Linked DNA regions of Styela clava. The protein of the gene in region 2 purifies or fractionates together with the protein of the main gene of each other region. This does not show direct contact. Links are inferred from orthologs where the notes say so. Each region holds a gene or a part of one and is shown on either strand. Other genes may lie near its edges.

The links.
Region 1: the proteins of ras-related protein Rab-28-like (region 2) and retinal rod rhodopsin-sensitive cGMP 3',5'-cyclic phosphodiesterase subunit delta-like purify together in Homo sapiens (affinity purification with mass spectrometry; 3 studies listed by BioGRID and IntAct, with this or other methods). This does not show direct contact. The link is inferred for Styela clava from reciprocal best matches to the Homo sapiens genes RAB28 and PDE6D.

The regions. Positions count from the first base shown.
Region 1 is NC_135252.1:5,209,243-5,219,336, forward strand, and holds the start of retinal rod rhodopsin-sensitive cGMP 3',5'-cyclic phosphodiesterase subunit delta-like, read right to left. Parts: upstream 3,837-10,094; 5' UTR 3,434-3,836; coding exon 3,390-3,433; intron 2,886-3,389; coding exon 2,797-2,885; intron 2,428-2,796; coding exon 2,302-2,427; intron 1,658-2,301; coding exon 1,552-1,657; intron 757-1,551; coding exon 675-756; 3' UTR 1-674. UniProt on the Homo sapiens protein: Promotes the release of prenylated target proteins from cellular membranes. Modulates the activity of prenylated or palmitoylated Ras family members by regulating their subcellular location.
Region 2 is NC_135262.1:19,598,182-19,607,917, forward strand, and holds ras-related protein Rab-28-like, read right to left. Parts: upstream 4,385-9,736; 5' UTR 4,319-4,384; coding exon 3,647-4,318; 3' UTR 1,957-3,646; downstream 1-1,956. Other genes in the region: vacuolar protein sorting-associated protein 52 homolog, read right to left, coding at 1-836, 1,510-1,923.

The DNA.
Region 1 (10,094 bases), on a different chromosome or scaffold from region 2:
TCTAATTGATGACAAAACTGCTGGTCAGATGTACCCTTTACCATTAATAAGTAAAATTTGTTAGAATAAACTTAAAAAATGAATTCCTTGGCAACAAATAAAAAGCCTCAATTCAGCTTTATAGATAGAGACTCAGTAACACATAAACAAATAAAAATTTGAACTCTCTCACGTTTTGATTTAAAACATCACATACGAATGATGATAGGATTACAGATTAATTTTTGGTACTCCCGTAGTATGTGAACAAAGATGACGAACACCAGAACGTAGTATGTGTACCAGGTTAGGGGTTGGCCATAATTTTATTCCAATTTACCTTATGTGACTCCCAAGGGATCCCTGTAGTATTCGTACCTGAAAATATAGCCTAACCATAACCTGGTACACATACTACGGTTCAGTGTCCGCCACCTTGGTTCACATACTTCGGGAGTACCTAATTTTTAATATCATAAATGAAACTAACAGTGAATATCTAGACTGAGTGAATCTAACATCTATTTAGCTATTGCAGTGCTTAGTCAAATGCGCTTAAAAATTAAATTCGTAGATTCCATTTGATTTTGCATAGTCATTCCCTGTAACTTTGATAATTCACTCAATGTTGTGATTTTTTGACCATTCGTAGTAATAAGGTAAGTGTGAATATTCAGTTGCAGGGGAAGCTGACATTACACATAAAATACTCGAACACGTGATTGACTCACAAGAAGATCTTCATCATAAAAGTTGGTTTCTATAATAACATTTCCGCTGAAAAAATAAAAGCAAAATCATGTAAAGAGAATATGATAATCGATAGCTAGGATCAAGCAAATACGTAACATCCACAGAAATCTCAAGCAACAATAGAGCTGGATTGTAGTGACTATGATGCGGTTAAAATACTATTGAAAAATGCAAATATTTCAGACTGTAATGCTCTTCCAAACCCATTTAAAACCACAGAAAGATTGCCGCACCATTTTGGCAGTTCATAACAATGCAAAGCGCGCTTTTGAGTAAATGGACTACCAGAATTGCCTCAGTCCTGATATGAATGGTGCATGTGAAAGCATGAAAGTACACAATACCAACAAAAGATTATAAGTAAATTTGCAACAGCAACTTTCTCATTGATGCCAAATTTTTTTAAATAGCTATGACCCATGGTCTTCTTTTCTACAATAAAAATATAATTTTCAACCCATTTATCAGAAAGGGAAGTGTGTGTACCAATATGAAAGTAACCAATTTTGTTCGCTTACTTCACATCAAGTTATGTAAAGAGACTGAAAGTTATAGGCAGGGGGTATATTCACATGGCTAAATAGAACTAAAATAAGAAAAACCGGAATAAAATTATGGCCTAACCCTAACCGGATACACAAATACGGGAGTACCTTTGGGGTTGAATGTCTGCACTGGATAAAATGAAAGAGCAAACATCACATCCTGAAACATAACTATTTTCTATATAGTTCAGCATATGCATCCAATTCATTAAATTGATATTATTTGTACATTGAGTATTTCCAAAGAGCGGAACAAAACTTGTTAAGATGTTACCTTAAAGCACTAGCAGGCATCATTTGCCCCTGTGGTGCAGCTTCAATTGTCGACTGCCATGTATTTGTTGAATCAGGAATCACAAATCCAAATTGGAAATACCATTCTGCAATATAATGAATTATGATTCATACATTATCAAATACCACATTATAAAACTATTAAACAGTGGAAGATAAAGAAGATATAAACTTTGTTAGGCAGGTATGGTTCGATAATACAGTTGTTAGTACAAGAATTGGAGCTCCAGAAGTACGTGTATGGAGGTAACTAATTTTGTTCGCCTAATTTACATCAAGTTGTATAAAGGGACTGCAAGCTATGGGCAGGGGGTATTTTTACTTGGCTAACACAACAGGCCCCAGACTCGTAATAGAACTAAAATGATGAAAATCAGAATAAAATTATGGCCTAACCCTAACCTGGTACACACACTACGGGAACCAGTATCCAAGAATTTAACAAGAACATATTAGAAAATTATACCTATTCATACTCTTGCAAAATGAATATGTGATTAATTAGGAAGTTCAGAATAAATTAGTTACTATTCCATAAAACGCATGTATACTCAAAATGCTAAAAATCCCTCATTGAGTAGTCAGTTAGAGAGGTTGAGGTTTCTCAGTAAAGGGTCATCCACTCAACAGAACACGGTGAGTAACAACAATGTGTTTCACAATAAGTGATTGACTTAAAATGCCAATACTAGTTCAGAATTACTAAAAACAAAAATGTAGCAAAATATACCTTCAAGTACTCTTCCTTTGAAAATTATTTTTTGTTCCAGTCTGAATTTTTCCATAGACTCTTTTGAGGAAAAATTGATTTCTCTTGACACAGCTTTGCATTTCAATATTTTTTTAGGTACTCGAGCTAAAAATAATATTGATAAACAAATATAACAGAGGATGTGAGGCCACATATTTACACAGCTAATTTTGAGCATAAATGACCCAATAAATTTTAATGACAACATCAAATTTTAAAGCCGCTCACCATGAACATCACTGCCAAAAAGTAACAAAAAAAATAGGCTGAGGTCTGCTAATCAATTTGTTTTTGTCTTGTGGTAGCCTTATATTTTGAAAACTGGACTGGAATTTCTTTTTCAACATTTGCTGTGGTGGCATAATGAACTTTTATCATCTATGATAATTGACCCAACTTAATACATATATTGCGCAATACAGATGGGGAAAAAATATTTCATCAATATTTTACCAATTCTGCAAACCATGTTACCTTCGTGCTCCTGCTCTGGCTTTGACAAATCTTCGCTGCCCTGCCATAAAACTCGGCCAGAACTGGCATCGCGCAAATTCATCCAATTTCTATAAATAAAAAGTTGAAAATTGATACATGAATCTTGAATAAATAAATATTTAAATACACAGAAGATTGTAGCATAGATTTTTTACAGACAGACAGTTATGATAATTCATATTTGTGTGCTATTTCTGTATTTAGTGCTGTTTACAGTCTGTGAATATTTACCTACAGCTCTTAAATAATATTTGCTGAATTCAGTTCCCTAAGTTATTTGAACAAAGTAATCAATAACAGTAAAAAAGGAAAACAGAAAAATACTAAATCAAGATAATTTTCTCATAGAAAGCTCAATGTTGAGAATCAAGACGGATCATGAATAACCACAGCAGTGATTTGAAATATATAAAACATCAAAACCTGCAGTAAAATATTTCAAAACATATGCAAATATCATAAAGTACGGTACTGTATTACAATGAAACATTACAATTCCATTTTTATTTCGATCATCCAATGTATTTCAATCATTTAAGACTGCCTAATGTAAATATTGAACAAAAACTTACAGTTGAAAACCTTCCAATATATTTTTGGCCTTTTCTGTAGTCATATTTGTAATCCAGGTATTAAATTACCACGTACTAAGCTAATTTTGTCACTCGAATAACTCAAGTCCAGTAGTTCAAGCCTTTGTTGCAGATATACGGTAACTGGACAAGTAATTACAGTTTCAGAATACGGTACCTAATTACAAATGCTGTAATGTGACTATGTCATTATGTGTAGTGAAGATAATGCCATCCTACTAATACATATCCCAGTGCCCGTATTCAGTTATTTGTGCTAACATGACTAAGCATTTCTTGTATATATATATTCTATATATTGTTATTAAGAGTAGTGAAGATAATGCCATCCTACTAATACATATCCTAGTGAAGTGCCCTTATTTGTGGCTACAGAACTAACTTCACTACTTGCTAGTATAGATATAGACACTGCAATACAGCAGAACGAGCCCTTGGTTGCTATTTACTGTTAGACTGTAGAGCGATATACCCCAGGCAGTCAGACGAAACTCGAAAAGGCATCGCACAATGAGGCAAGATGGCGTCTTACTGACTGTCTCTCACAGTACACATTTTATAATGTGTAGGCCACGTTCAAACGATCGATAACTGACAGAAAAACGTTGCATACTGGTATGCAGTTTTCGGTATTGATAAATGGTGTCGAAGCGAATTCGATCGCTAGTAGATTAACATACAAATAGGGGATTATATCGAAACGCAATAATCCCCTATGCCTGTCACATTTCTGGCAAAGATTTGCTGTTGTCATGTTCCTGTGTTCGGTCGATATATATGAACATTTACAGTGAAATTTATCCTGAACATTCGTGAGCAAAGTGAAATTTGGTTTTCTTAAAGAGTACTCGAGCAAAAATTCAAAGTTACCAACAACAAAACCAATTAATCCAAAAAAAAATCCACGAAATTCAATATACCCATGAAGTCGAGAAGTCTACTCAAAATGTGCAAGCCTTCAAACTTGCTCGTGCTGTCACAATCATCATTGGCCAAACGTAAATTTCTACCAGATAAAGCAGGGCTCCCCAAACTTTTGAGCTCGCGGCCCCTTTTAATATAGTAAAATTTTTCGCGGCCCTTGTCCACGTTAAATAATGCCAAACAGTTCGAATTATGCCTTTTTGATGTTTTATTGGCAGAGCTAATTCTCAACTTTAACATGTCTACTCAATAACAAAAACAAGCATATATTTATTCAGATTAACGTTTCTCAATTATTCAGTGTAATGGGTACGAATGCTTTTTGCTGCATAGCAAGGCTCAATGTATGTTTATACAGGCCTAAATGATGAATTACGTTGTATGGCTACTGACGGCATGGTCCTTATCTCGAATTGTTCACTCTAATTGATCAAACTTAGCATAAGGCAGCATTTTGTTCGACGCCAAATTATCAGGGAAAAAACTCATGGCGCACCTACACGAAAAATATACTGCCTCGAAACAAAACACAATTTTGTCATCGTTAATATGAACTAAATGTCTTTTGAGGTTTTTAATCATGTAAGCCCGATGAATAAAGGCAAAAAGTTAACGTTTCTTTTTTATCACTGCCTGGTTGCAGCATGTAGGGTTCATCTCTTATATTACGTAACAATAGACCCTACGTACAGAAAGTAAACACATAGAACGGCAAAATGACTTTGATCCATAAACACGTCATTTGAAACAATTAAACATTTAGAATAAATATGATATGTAATATGTTTCGAGGCGCACTCAGCAAATCGTCTTCGGAAACCGCTAGCATAACGATTAGAGCCGTCATTGTTATGCAAACCGCAAATCGGGTTTCACGATCAGAATATGCATTGTTATGCAAGCGCCATCATTCTACCGTGTTTCCCCGAAGATAAGACCAAGGTTGAATTTTAAAAAGATTTCAATATAAGAGCTCGGCTTCAAAAAGGACTTAGTCGATAGCGCGAATTTTTTTTTTTTTTTGACTCAATCTCGTGGAAGTGCGTCGTTTTAATTTTGCTAGGACGTCGCAAAATTTCGTGATTCGTGAACCTTTCAAAAACCCATATCTTCTACTTTCACTGGAAAAAAGAAAGATTAAATCGATCCTACCTGTGATGTTGCTATAATAGGAATGTTTTATTCTGGAAATTCGGTTTTCTGTAGATAAAGATTATTTGTCCTTGGTTCCAAAAGCATTGCGCACTCCCAACTTCTTTGCGATTTCGTATTTATATAAAGCAGCCTTTTCTACCAAGGCCCATTAATTGCGATTTCACTGACTGTCGTTAAGTTTTGTTTAATCGTTTATATGAGCATATTTTTGAAGGGCGTCACAATACAATGAAGTTCGAGAACCACTGCGTCCCAGTCGATAGCAAGAAATATTTTCTACTTTTTTAAATGGGTAAAAGTCTATATGTAGCAGGTATTTAAAATAAAAACGTGCTATTTATAAGTAAATGGAAATAGGTATTCATATTTTGCATATATATATAATAAAAAAATCTCATTATTCTGTATCCCAAAAATAAGCCCTAGTGTTATTTTCGAAAGAAAATTGGAGACAGTGTCTTATTTTTGGAAAAACACGGTATTATGATGATGTATTCACTCGGAATCGTGAAATCTTTGTTTTACACTATTTGTATAATAATTGTATTTCGAATCAAGAGTCTGAAAAAAGTACAATAGTCAATATATATGGTATTTTGTGTAAAATTGGTGTTCTCTTTGCGGCCCCTAAAATTCGTTTCGCGGCCCCTAGTTTGGGAAGCCCTGAGATAAAGCACTAGTGTCGACATGATCTTTTAATAACAACAAATCGGTATGTAGGAAATATCCATGTCGAAGGACAGGGCCGGATTTAGAGTTTTTTTAGACAATGGAAGTCCTGGGTCAATGTTGTTTATTCCCATAAACCCAAATCATACCAAGATCATAAATAGGTTATACATCTGAGAAAAGATATACGAAGAGTGTGCAGCATAAGTCTGGGTATCTAAATTCCAATACAATACAAAATTCAATCGGATACAACAATGCAAACGCGACGCGCATGGTATTTCGGCGGCCATGATCGTCGAAATAGATATTCACGTTGGGGACTCTACCAGAGTTCGGATCCTTTTCTTTTTGCAAACTTTCTACCATTCAATAGTTTTGTAGGCTCTTTTCTTCTGATTTTGAGTGTGGAAAGTTGCTATCCGAGACCGCTCACCAAATTTTTGAAAAAGGCCTATTTGACATAGGCCTAGGCCTAAGACATCCTTCAGCTGGCGCAATGTCTCAATTTACATGGTGGCAGCGGTGTCTGAAATTCGCTTACTGTCGATCAGGAGCATTCAAGAAATGGAAGAGCCAGATCAAATATTTTCATGAGCCAGCGGACCTAAAGGAAGAACAAAATCCCATAATCTCATATTGCAGGTGCTGAAATGATAGTGAGACTGAAGACGAAGATGACTACAGAAGATGGCTGAATACTAGGGCTGGGAATTTCAGGGAAAACACTTTAACCGTTAACCGGGTAAATTAACCGGTTAACCGCCGCGTGACGTTTGACGTAATAATCTATAATTTCTGCCTGTTACGTCTCAATGCTTATAAAGCAATTTCGCGTGTTCTTATCCCGGTATCGCTTATTAAAATTATTCACGAATCGAGATAGTTTCATGATTACTCTGCTGCACGAGATAGGCAGCGTGGTTCGGGCATGTGGAAGTATTTTAGAATACCTGATTCCGTTGTTAAACGTCATTTATGTCACAAATTATCAGTGTTCGATGTGCAAATTTTACTTCGGAGTATATATCATATAAAGAAAAACGCCATCAACTGCGCACTTGTTGTATGACATTGAATATCCGATTTTGCAATGAAATCGTAAACACTATTTCGAAATCGACCGAAAACTGATTCTGAATTCATCATTGTCAGATTTCCATAATCAGCAATCTTGGTACTTCCATTATGCACAGTCCTTACTCACACAGTTAATAATATTCATTAAATGCCACAAGAGATAAATTTGCGATGACGTAATCATATTTGAAGAAATTGTACGGTATGAAGATGATTTGTACCTGAGATGTCAGTTAAGGATTAAAATAAATCGTAACCGTTAACCATCTGAAATCGGTTAACCGGTTAACCATTCCCAGCCCTACTGAATACTATAATCTCCGGAAGAATGAAGTGATAGAGACATTTCGCTTTTTCAATGCCCAGTACAAAGACAATATTAATACATTTCTCGTTGAATTTCGTAGTAAAGCGATTCCTGTAATTTTAAAAAACAAGGTGCGAATGATAAGAAATGAAAAACGTATGTACATTGAATGGCAAATTACAAGAAATTCTGCATCCAAGATTCGTGCATCATCGGAAAGCGAGCAACGAATTTTGTCGACTCAAAATTTACAACGCCGAAATATGAACCTAGCTCAGCAACACAAAAAGCGAATTCCGAATGCAAACTAAGAGTTCAAATTTTGTGGACGAAGGCGCAGGTTCTGAATATTTTTGCCCTGTCTACGTGAAAACATGTCCCCCGTGCAATGATAGAAATAATTTCCGGGTGAAGTGTAGAACCTTAAGCCATGTTCGATAAATGAAGAAACATGACCAAAATAAAAACGCTTGAAGAAGGTGTCCAGAATATAAATAACGTCAAATCATCATATGTCTAAAACGTCATTTTGCCAGACATGGTATTTATCATGGATATTTATCCCAGATTGTGAAAGTACTGAAAGTACTGAACTCGTCGAATTCATGAGAGAGTGAAGAGTCAAGCATGCAAGCTCTTCGCATGTGCATCAACAAGCGAATGGAAAAGCTGAATCGTGGGTGAAGATTCTGAAGAATATGCTGAAAAGGACTACAAACACGAATGAAGATCAATTCATTCATTCATTCAACTCTTCTAAAAATAATCGTGAATCGTGTTGCAACCAGACCTCGTCGAAATCGTAAACCTCATATTTGGATGAAAGACTATGTGACTGAGTAGTGGCTTTAACTTGAATTTGAGTGTTAAATATTATTGCTCTCATTTATGTGCCTTGATGGTAATGATCATGACTTGTGTAATAAGTAAAAGTGAATATTTTCTATTTTGAATTTGAAAATAATTTGTGAAATTTATCTTAAACAAATTGGGATGTTGTCGTTGATGATGGCTAAAATCAGTGGCGGCGCGTCAATAGGGCCAACCGGGGCAATGCCCCGGTTGTTTTTTCGGTATAATAAAAAATATTCGAAAAATACCTCAATATCGGTTGCACAGACTGTCTACACCAGCCATATTCTCCCGACGTGGTTCATTTTTCGCTCGCAAAGCCTTCGCCGAACGTCGACGGGGCGACGCCGATTTTGCCCCGGTTGCTCATTGTATATCGTATTCTCTCTTTTATCTTCCACTCGCCGCGTTTGTTTTCTGTTTCTTTTACAAAATCATCGGGGCTAGCCCCGAAATTATGACGACACAATGCCAACGTTTCTTACAAAAATGTGTTGACATATTCTCGCATTCCTTCTCGTTCGTTGGTTGCTTGAAGATTTGATAGTTTCCTCGCCTTCGTTTTTGTCGCGTGTTTCGCTATTTGAATCAGTTAGAGACCTTTAGTCCATTTGCTTTCGATTTTCCACATTCCTTTTGAGCTCCTCACCTCTATCCGGCTTCGCATTTCTTAGCCTTAGACCTCATAATGAATAAGGTTGATGCACTACTTCGCACTCCGTTTTCGCAGCTGCCGCTGGAACAAAAATTAGAGGTACAACGTCTTGGGCCTTATCAACCAAAAAATTGTTCACTGGAACAATCCCATGACGGAGGAAAGCGTCGGCGTACATTCTGCGCAGAAACTTGGTATAAAAAACACGAATGGTTGTGTTACAGCGAGGACAAAAATGCACTTTTTTGTTTTTATTGCCTACTTTTTGCTACCGCCCCAGACTCACGTTGGTGTAAATTTGGTTTTAGAGATCTTAAACATCTTTCCGAGCGTGCCAGGGATCATCAATCTTCTATGGAGCATCTGGACAATGCAGTAAAATACCGAACATTCGAAAATGTTAATATTGCAGCACAGTTGGATGAAGGACGCGCGGTTTCTATTCGTCGGCACAACCAAAACGTCGAGAAAAACCGCCATGTTCTCGGTCGATTGATAGATGTTTTGAAGTTCATTGGTTGTCACGAGCTGTCCCTTCGTGGGCACGATGAACGGGCTGGCTCTTCTAATAGAGGGGTATTTTTGGATATGGTGGAATACACCGCATCCCTAGATACAGTATTGAGAGATCATCTTGATGCCGCAACTGTTTCGAAAGGGACTTTTAAGGATATCCAAAATGATTTGCTCGACTCAATGTATAAAATTTATTTATTATTTACCGAGAGATTTCACAGCTTTGTACCAATCGTTGATCGCACGGCTTGCGGGATATCGGCTGTACTGAAAGAAGTGTTACAGCCTTACAACGCGAAGTCAAAATTGATAGCTCAAACTTATGACGGCGCGGCAGTCATGAGTGGGTCGAAACATGGTGTTCAAGTTTATATAAAAGAAGATTTTCCTCATGCGCATTTTCTACATTGTTATGCACACCAATTTAACCTCGTTATTAAAAATATGTGTCTTGATACCCCTCTCGTCCGTATATTTTTTGCAAATGTTTCGGGGTTTTCTTCATTTTTTTCCGTTTCGCCGAAGC
Region 2 (9,736 bases):
ATCAACATTGAAATCGTCTTTCCCATAACGCTGTTGAACATTTCTTGTGCGCTTGCCTTGGTGACGAGAAAAAAATCACATAGAAAAAGATATTCACGACAGCAGTTATCCATGAATGCATAATGTTCACTCCGAAATAAACTTTCAAACGGATATCTTTTGTCAATTCTTTGGGCTGCATGAGGTACTATGACTGCAGATTCTAAATCAGTAGTCAAAATGCTTCCTCTTCCCCCCAATGTAAATATAGTAGCTCGATTTTTTAGTGGCATTTTTGAGGAGAAAAATCCACGACGTGCAGTGTCTTCAATTGCTATTAGATCATCTTTATCAGCTACTTCATCATATTGCACTTTCATTAATCGAGAAACATAGGTTTTAAAATATGAGAAATAAACTTTGCTCATAGTATCAACATATTCCTCTTGTACCTCTTTCGCAATGGCTCTTTCATTGGATAACAAAAACTCATAATAAAACCTTGATTTCAACATTGCATTTTGCGGTACTTCATAGTTACTCATAGGCTTACGAAATGAATAAACTTTTTGAAGCAAATATTCACGAATTTTAGCAACAGCTTTGAATTTAAGTTTTTGTACTGTGTCACTAACATCACGACATGCCAAGGTATCGTTGAACGAATGTTGTTTTAAAAATTTGATTTTATGATTGAGTTCATGTAATTGCTCTAAAAATTCTCTTTCTGTGACGGGAATTTCCAATATTGCTGTGATCATTGCTTCAGGAACAACCATTTCATCAACAAGTTGACTCAACTCGCTTTTCACAGATTGTCTGTTTTTGAGCTTCATATTCATGGTGATGGATTGTTCCTAAGATCAATAAAAAATTGAATTTAGTTGTTTAGTTAATTAGTTGTCATTAACCTTGAGGAATCTCTGTAAATGATGAATATCTACTAAAACAAAAATTGTGACGAGATATTTTCATATTACGGTAATTCAAAGTTGTTTTTGAGTACATTCCTCATAAAATGGAAAGCTTCTTCTATGTGTCTCGAAAATTTTGCTTTGGGGGTCTCCATTTGCATGGAGAAAGATATATTACTTTGAGAATCCTAAATCATATGATAATAATAAAATGCAATATCATAGAGTAGATCTTTTCTTGGATATTATTAACCAATACTGAATGGGAATACAGTCATTTATAAAACTGCTCAGGATTTTTACGGATATTATTAACAATTGGTCATGAGATCATGATATCCTTGCCCTGCCTGATCATAAAAAGGAAGCCTCAAAGCTCATCAATGAAAATCAACATTATAATTGACTGAAATAGATAGGAAGGCTAGCTAACATTGGTGGATTACTTTGAAATCGACATGTCTCACCAGCAATAATATCATTCAATTTATTAATAATATAAAGTTAAAATCTGATGTATTATGTCAAAGTCACGAATCACAGATTACGAGACCATGATTCATCATATGATAAAAATGTTACATGGTATAGATATAAAAATCCTAATGTTACTAACCTGCAATGATTGAATTTCAGAGCTTATACTGCTTAATGCATGTTGAAAACCATGTAACATTCCCTCCATTCTTTCCAAAACAGACTCACAAGAGCCGATTCGTTTATGGAGGTCGGCAACTCTTTTACTTTCTCTTATATAATCCTGTATCGAATCCTTTTCCACTTTCGTCAAGTCTTTCTCAATATTCTTCGCATACTCTCGAAGATCTACACCTTTTTCCAAAGCCTCTTTGACAAGGTCATCCTCAAGATTCTCCTGAATATGTTCTCCGACAGTTTCAAGCATATCTTCACTTGCTAGAAGTTGAAGATCTTCTAAATCAGGATAATACATATCCAGGTCGGCCTCACGTTGATCAAGATCCAGAGGTTGGTTTTCCACCAGTCCAGTAAATACTTTACTATCTTCCATGGTGAATTACAAAGGAGGACTACTAATCTTAGGTCTAAAAAATTAAAACAAATTATGTATCAAGCACAGTTATTAAATGTGTGATAAGAGTGCAAGAATAAGATACAACTAAAAACTAGTCAGCATAAAACGTGGTACAAGTTGCGATTGCTATTGCCTATTACATTTGAACATTTCTATAAAAAACTTACAGAATAAGACATACCATACTTTGATTACGGTGACCGTACATTTGAACCAACGTACATTTGAACCCATGTGTATATCCGCGGGTTCAATCTATATGCGGGTGCAAAAACCCATGGGCCAGGGTTAGTATGGATTCAAATATCCGTAAAACAAAAAAGATCTCCATAGGTGCAATTGTAAGTATGTAGGTGCAATTGTCGTGGGTTCAAATGTACGTGGGTTCAAATGTAATGAAACCTTTGATTACACCCCACCCCGAATATGTTCGAGGAGTAGTGAAAGCACAAAATGCAATGCTACAACCACATGAAACTCAGCACTTATATAATTATAAAAACTTTTAAGCATTATTAATGAATCATATTATTTAGAAAAAATTGAAGAAATTCTTTATTTACCATTAGCACCCTTCCTCAGTATACAGTAATACGTGTCTATCAATGGAGTAGAGGTTATGCACCCCTGTTTTATGGAAATATTCATGTACAGTGCATTACTTGTTAAAATACTACAATCAAAACAAACAGGGCTAAGCCTATCACAGTATTCAGAAATGTATTCATTTCATCATGCTACTCACTCATAGCCTCATAGGACAAAATTTCATAAACCAAAATGAATTTCGAAAAATTCACAAACAAAACCTAAAACTATCCATATTTCCCAATATGATTGAACTGTATTAAAATTTACAGAAATTTCCAATTTTACTTGAATTTATTGGTTTTCACTGGTTGGATAAAAAAAAATTGAAAATCACCTTTTTAATTTTCATTGAATTTTTGGTAAGGCATTACATTGCAACCTAGAGTTGAAGCCAATCAGCTAATATTATTACGAGTTTAAAATTAAAGGGCTGAACAAGGTTAGCGACAGTATGAAGAATTATCGAAATGTGTTGATATATGATGGCCAGATAAATTAGCACCCCATATCTTTAAAAACTGTTATTCAATTAATATAAAATGCATATTGACTATTCCGAGATGAGAAACGCACAGAGCACCTTTCAAGAGGAAAAAGTAGTGATATCGTACAAAATAATGGTATGAAAAAAGATGATAAAGTGGTAAAAAGTCTGAAAATAATATATAATAAAGACATTGCAGAACAGGTATACTGAAACTCTAATGAGATGCATTGCCATTTAAAAATAGGAAATGTGTAACAACATGTAAACAATGTTTGGTCCACCTACTACAGCACATATTTAACTAAAGAACAACCAGGTAAGAATAAAAGATATATGAAACTATTTTTGAAAAATGTATAAAGACAAATCTGTTTTAGGGTGATATTGTTTTAAGACTTTTGAAGCAAAATCTTAACTTGACGTTTTCAAATACTGAGAAAAAATATTTACTATTTATAAATTCACAAACTAAAATAATAGGGGCTTAAACATTAAATAGCAAGAAAACAAAGAAATAGGAGTATACCAACTTGGGCAATGACTCGTTTGAATTAATAGATGTTTTCAGATACATACTAAAATCGATTATTTATAAAATATAATTTTTATTGCCAAAATTAATTATTGAAGTGAGCAAAAAGAGCTTTTTTGTTGTTTTCTTCGAACTGAAGCTATTTTTACTGCTTCTGAGTTTGCAGAATTGGCAATTTCTGCTGTTACAATTCGATGTGCTTGTTCAGTTTCTGCTCTTGTTAACTTGATCCCAAGAATGTCAGCAGCCAACATTTTAAAACAAAGATCCACAGAATCACCTGTTTTTGCTGATATATAGTGACTCTGCAACTTGTTTTTTGTTGCAAATGTCATATGTTTATCTTTTGTGACAGTTCTTAAGTGCTCGAGATCACATTTATTTGCTACGAGGGCATAATGTGGTTGCGAATCATGGGCCATCGATTTAACAATTTCATACCATTCTTCAAGATTTTCAAAACTGTGGTGATTTGTAACATCGTATACAAGCAGTACTCCTTGGGCACCAAATACATACTTATCAAGCATATTTCCACCAAGAGTTTGTCCGCCAATATCCCATATTTTTAGCGAGACATTTTTCTTATTCGTAAGTCTTATTCTTTTTAGAAAGAAATCCAATCCAACGGTTTGTTCATAATTACGCCCAAATTGATCCTGTGTGTAACGAGTAATCAGTGAGGTTTTTCCACTCGAACCATCTCCAAGAACGACAAACTTTAATTGCACGTCTTCAGTGTCATCTTCAGAATCAGACATATCAAGAATATTATATATTAGTCCTGTAGTCTGCAAACAAAGTAGTCTACAGGCCAAAAATAAAAAGAAAATATTTGAGAATAGAAGTCAGAAAGTGAAAGAACCTATTGCATGTATCAATGTCTGATTCTGAGTGTACAGGTGTAGTCTATGTACTGATGTATCAGATGTATAGACCGACATCTGAGATATGGCTATATCTGTATATCTAGATATACTAATAGTCATAGTCATAGTCAAGTTTATTTTTTCCCATTCAGTAAAAAATAACATACGAAATTAACAAAATACAAAACTGAAAACACATTTTTACTGGGGAAGGGAAGTCGCGGGGAACCAGGAATGGTTATCGAGCAGCAACACACAAGGTTCAATATTTAACTTTATTTTTTTTTAAAGAAGTTACGTTTTTAGAACACTTTTAATATGAATGACCAGGCTTTGGCAGTTGAACCACATCCAAGAGACATGAAAGTTATATCCTATCCTAAATCCTATGAGACTACCATGAATAGTACATGGCAACATCTCTAATCGAGCCCACCAGATAACTTACGGGGATTCCCCGATTGACAGGCACTGAAGTGTGTAAATTGATTGAGGTATACTAGTTGCTATGGTAATGTGAAATTCAAATCGGTCGAGTGGAGCAGTTCAGGCCAGGCATTGATAAACACATGATGAGGTGATAAAGAAGACATGTAATATAATTCTAATAACAATATTATATAAATAGAATAAGCAGATCAATGATGTACTAAGTTAGACGAAGTACCGTACCGGTGCGGTACTATGTGTAATCAGTCATAGAGGTGTGATCATTGTATACATATGAATACACCCACACACACAAAAAAAAACATTCTGAGTCAAGTTGTCAAAAACATCCAGAGAAAGTCGACATAAAGTCTTCTTTGAATTTGATTTGGAATGTGAATAAGGCAACAACATGCATTGTAGCTCAAGACAGTATTTTAAATTCGCAGTTTAAAAGTGAACTCAATAAAGATAAATTCAATAATATTCATTTGTCATAGAAGAAGACAAGTAATATGGAATTCAGAAAAAGCTGTTTGATAATTACATATATCATAGCCTGTATAATATTCATTAGGTCAGCAGGTTGGTGCAATAACTATTTTTTTATTTCCAGGTGGTGGTATGGTTGCAGTAACAAGAACATTCAATTTGTTGCAAACATTCGAAGTAAGTCGACAAGAAATTTCTTTTCGTATCTGATTTGGAAAGTTGATAGGATATCGATATGCATCAAGTTTCGTATTGAACATATAAATGGCACATGCCATTGCTCGGAACAGTGATTTAGATATATAGTCTGTGTGGGGTCTGGTATAGTTTAGTTAGTACCACATTGACAATTTTTGCATATGTCAATCCTAACCCCTACCTGACTACGTCACCGAAAAATTACGTCATTTTGACGTCACAGTGGCGTAATAAGGCCCACCAAAGTATGCGGATCGAGCAAGCTATTTCTCTCTTTTCCTCGTCACAACAATCACAATACAGCAATAGGAGAGAGATCGCCGACTTGAGCGAGTTCGTACTGTCGTAATTATACTTTGGCAAGCCTTACGTGATGGTGACGTCGTAGTGACGTAATTTTTGGATGACATAGTCAGGTGGGAGTTAGGAATAACATATGCAAAATTCGGGTCTAGTATAGTTTAGTACCACAAGTACTTCCAGTGGGCGTAGCATAACGATTTTTGCATATATGTTATTCCTAACCCTCACCTGACTGCCTGACTATGCCATCCAAAAATTACGTCACTACGACGTCACCATCACGTCATAGGGATTGCAAAAGTATAATTACGATCGCCCGAAATGGCATATGCGCCGCCGATAAGAACTTGCTAAAGCCGGCGATCTCTCTCCTATGTGATCGTTGCGACGAGAAAACGAGAGAAATAGCTTGCTCGATTTCGGGTTTTCGACTGCGCGTTTTGGACGACCATCCGCATACCGGTACTTCGGTGGGCCTTACGGTATTACGCCACTGTGACGTCGGAATGGCGTAATTTTTCAGTGACGTAGTCAGGCGGGGGTTAGGATTGACATATGCAAAAATTGTTGAGCCAGGCCAACTCGTTTTCGACCCTAATTTGCCATCCCTAATCTGCCACCTTTCGACCGTATTTTGCCATCCCCAATATGACTTTTATGCTACCACCACTATAGCCATAGGCTACCGACTAACGTTAACTAATCCCATACCGTAGGGTACCGGTACCGTACCCGACATGGAATGATACCGGTACAGTAACCAGACGATACTGCGAGTGGCCGTGTTAAGTCATATGGTTAAGCCGTCTTATCGGCTTTCCTCTCCCCCGGGATAAATATGTTAATTCTATCCTAAAAATAATTTATCATCAATATTATTATTAGTTATTACTGTACCGTACCCTAATAGTCTATTAAAAAAAGCACAGTTCAGCAGTTTGGGGCTTGAAATTGAATCCTAGAAAGGAGGACAGAATGAAATTTTTCTTAAGGCATTTAGAGAGCAGGAAGGTTGGGCATTGGCTGGTTATTTGTGGAATGACAGATACCGTACAGCTGTACCGTACAGACAGGACAGGCGTGCAAATCTAAAAATCAGGGGTCTTGGCGTACAAGCAGTTTCCCCGACACGCCAAACATCTGAGTGCAAACCTACCGAGACCGCGTGAACTCCTAGCGTGCAACTGAAGGAATAGCCTAGCCGTATTTGAAAAAAAAAAACTTGAATAAACAAGTGTAAAATAATTTCACCATAAAATCCCCACCGGCCGACCTGTATTCCAAGGCAGAGACCCCCCATTTCCTGGTCTCACAAAACGACTGCGACGATGCGTATTTTCGCATAGGTCAAAGATCAAAATACGCACAAACAGACAAATTTTGCAAGGTTACAAAAGACCTCGCTTCAAGAGAAACAATGCCTAACCATACATGTAACTAGGGTTGGGATGTAACATTTGTATTTCAAAAGAGATCCATTTAGTTGTTAGTCGGCATGGGTTTTGAGGTGTTTGATAATGGCGAAAGGTACTTGAATGACAGTTGAGTTTTCATGTGTTGCTATTTTTCAATATTCTTTATTATCAAAGGAAAATGGGTGTCGATTAAAACTCAGCGTGGATTTTCTCCGATCTTGCATTGTTGTGACTCAACAATGTGAAATTCACAGTTTTGCAGCCAAACTGGGGAATCCCGAAGGACAATGCACTGTTTGCTTTTCGAATTGAGAAACTTATTCGCAATAAACAGGGACAGCCTTCACACTAATGTTCTGTACAAATGAAATGAATACTTTTGTTTAATATCATTCAAAACATTGGTTCCCAACCTCTCTGGCGGACCGGTAAAATTAAATAAAATGTACTCGCGGACGGCAAAAAATTGGAATGAGTGGAATAGAAAATAACAACATATATTTGCAAAATGTAATGTAATGTTGGGCACTTGAAAACATTTCACATGAATAAAAACAAATAATGCGCCGACAAAAAAAAATGGAAAAAAGGAAACTTTGTTTAGAAGAAGAACTTTGTCTCCTCGTTCTTGTTAAAAAACATCAAAATGCCCTGCTGGTTAACTGATCTCATATTAATCCTTCTGCAGTTAATCAACGCATCAAACAAAATGAATGATGACAAAGTCGTTTGTAACTTAGCACCAGGTTCACAATCCTGCTGTGCATCGCCTGGAAAAATTCTACGCGGCCCATGCTTTTGTTGCGCTTCTTGTGGCCACCTGCAGGGTCGCAACAAGCTCATATTTTGCTGGATGTCAAGGCAAAGCCCTGGAATATTATACTATCCATGAATATTTTCTGATTTAAACAAAGAAATTTCTATAACCTTTTATTTGGATGTCCACATTAAGAAGGAAAACCATGCAGAACAGCAAAATACATGTGCCGATCTTCGGCTTTCTGAATCTTGCAAGATTTGGCGGACGCTCCGGGATGAATCGGAAGCGAAAAGTGTGATTACTCGGCGCCAAAATGTCGTCGGGCCATTGATACCGCAAACAGCAATATGTCGGCGACAGAGAAATCGCGTAATAAACAAACACAACGTCGTTATTTCGGGTTCGCTAAAGCGACTGAGACGACTAAAAAACAATAAAATTTCGCGCAGACCGACAAAAAAGCTTCTGGTTCCGATGCCGGTCCGTGGACCATTGGTTGGGAACCACTGATTTAAAAAAACACAGTAAAATCATTAGTTAATATATTAAAACTATGTTTGACCGATCACTGGGGTCCGTGTTGATTATTTCATGACTCGGGGGTGCTAACAGGAAAAAAGTTGAGAACCCCTGCTATAATCAGTTAGTTTGCAATGTTGAAACTAGCCATCATTATTTGTTGGTGGCTGTTTCCTTCAACCACACTTCTGCCCTTCACATCGTCAGATGCAATGGTTTGCAATAAACGAATTTTCCGGCGAGCAAAAAGGATTTTACTCAGGGGCATTTTCGGGGAGCACTGGCGTACTCGGGCGTGCCCCCGCTACGAAATCCATATTTTGGCGTCCGACTCTTCACTTTGGTATCGCATTTAGTGTTTGATCATAGGTGTCGCTACGGTAACGAATTTTTTTAATGCAGATCGAGACGTACGAACGATTTCGTACGATAACCTAAGTATTGATGAAAATAAAAAATATGGCCGTGGTTGGTAGTTATAGTTCTGAAACAATGCTGGAATCATTTGCCTCACATTGCTTTGATAATTGAGTAATTGACTTATGCGTAAATGTTGTTGAAAAACAATATCATGAAATTATGGGATGGCGATATTTGGCAGTATATATATATTAATTTTAGGAAAGTATTTTATTTTCTTCAATTCGCTAAGAGGTCGTACAACTCATAGAAGATTGTCTACAGCAGTTTATTTGAACAACTAAATTGCAAAAACAACAGGTCTACATGTATTTAGCCAACACTGTGGAATGTGAATACGGTTGGGCATTTTAAATCGAATAGTATTTTTTTGGAATCGCCACCTTTTTTTTTGTTTACTAAAGATCTAAGTCGGTTTGGTCATTTTTTGTTAAAGCATATTTTTTACAATACAAATTGACAGGCGAGGGATTTATTGATGAAACAGGTTTCTTATTCTGTGGCAACACAAAACCAACTGTCTGAGTGATGGAGTGTATGTTTTTAGTAATTCAATAAAAAATTCGCATTCAATTTCCAAGTATTCGAGATTTGAGTCGAAATATATTCGATTCAATTCTGAAACCACTGGGTTTTTGAAAACACCCAGCTCTGATTGCGAACAATTGTTTATAGAACAAGTCAACAAGAGAGCTATACTCAAATATATGGATACGTAGAACCACATAATTTTGATGACGTCATAGCAAACAAAAGTAATAGCCATCTGGGGAA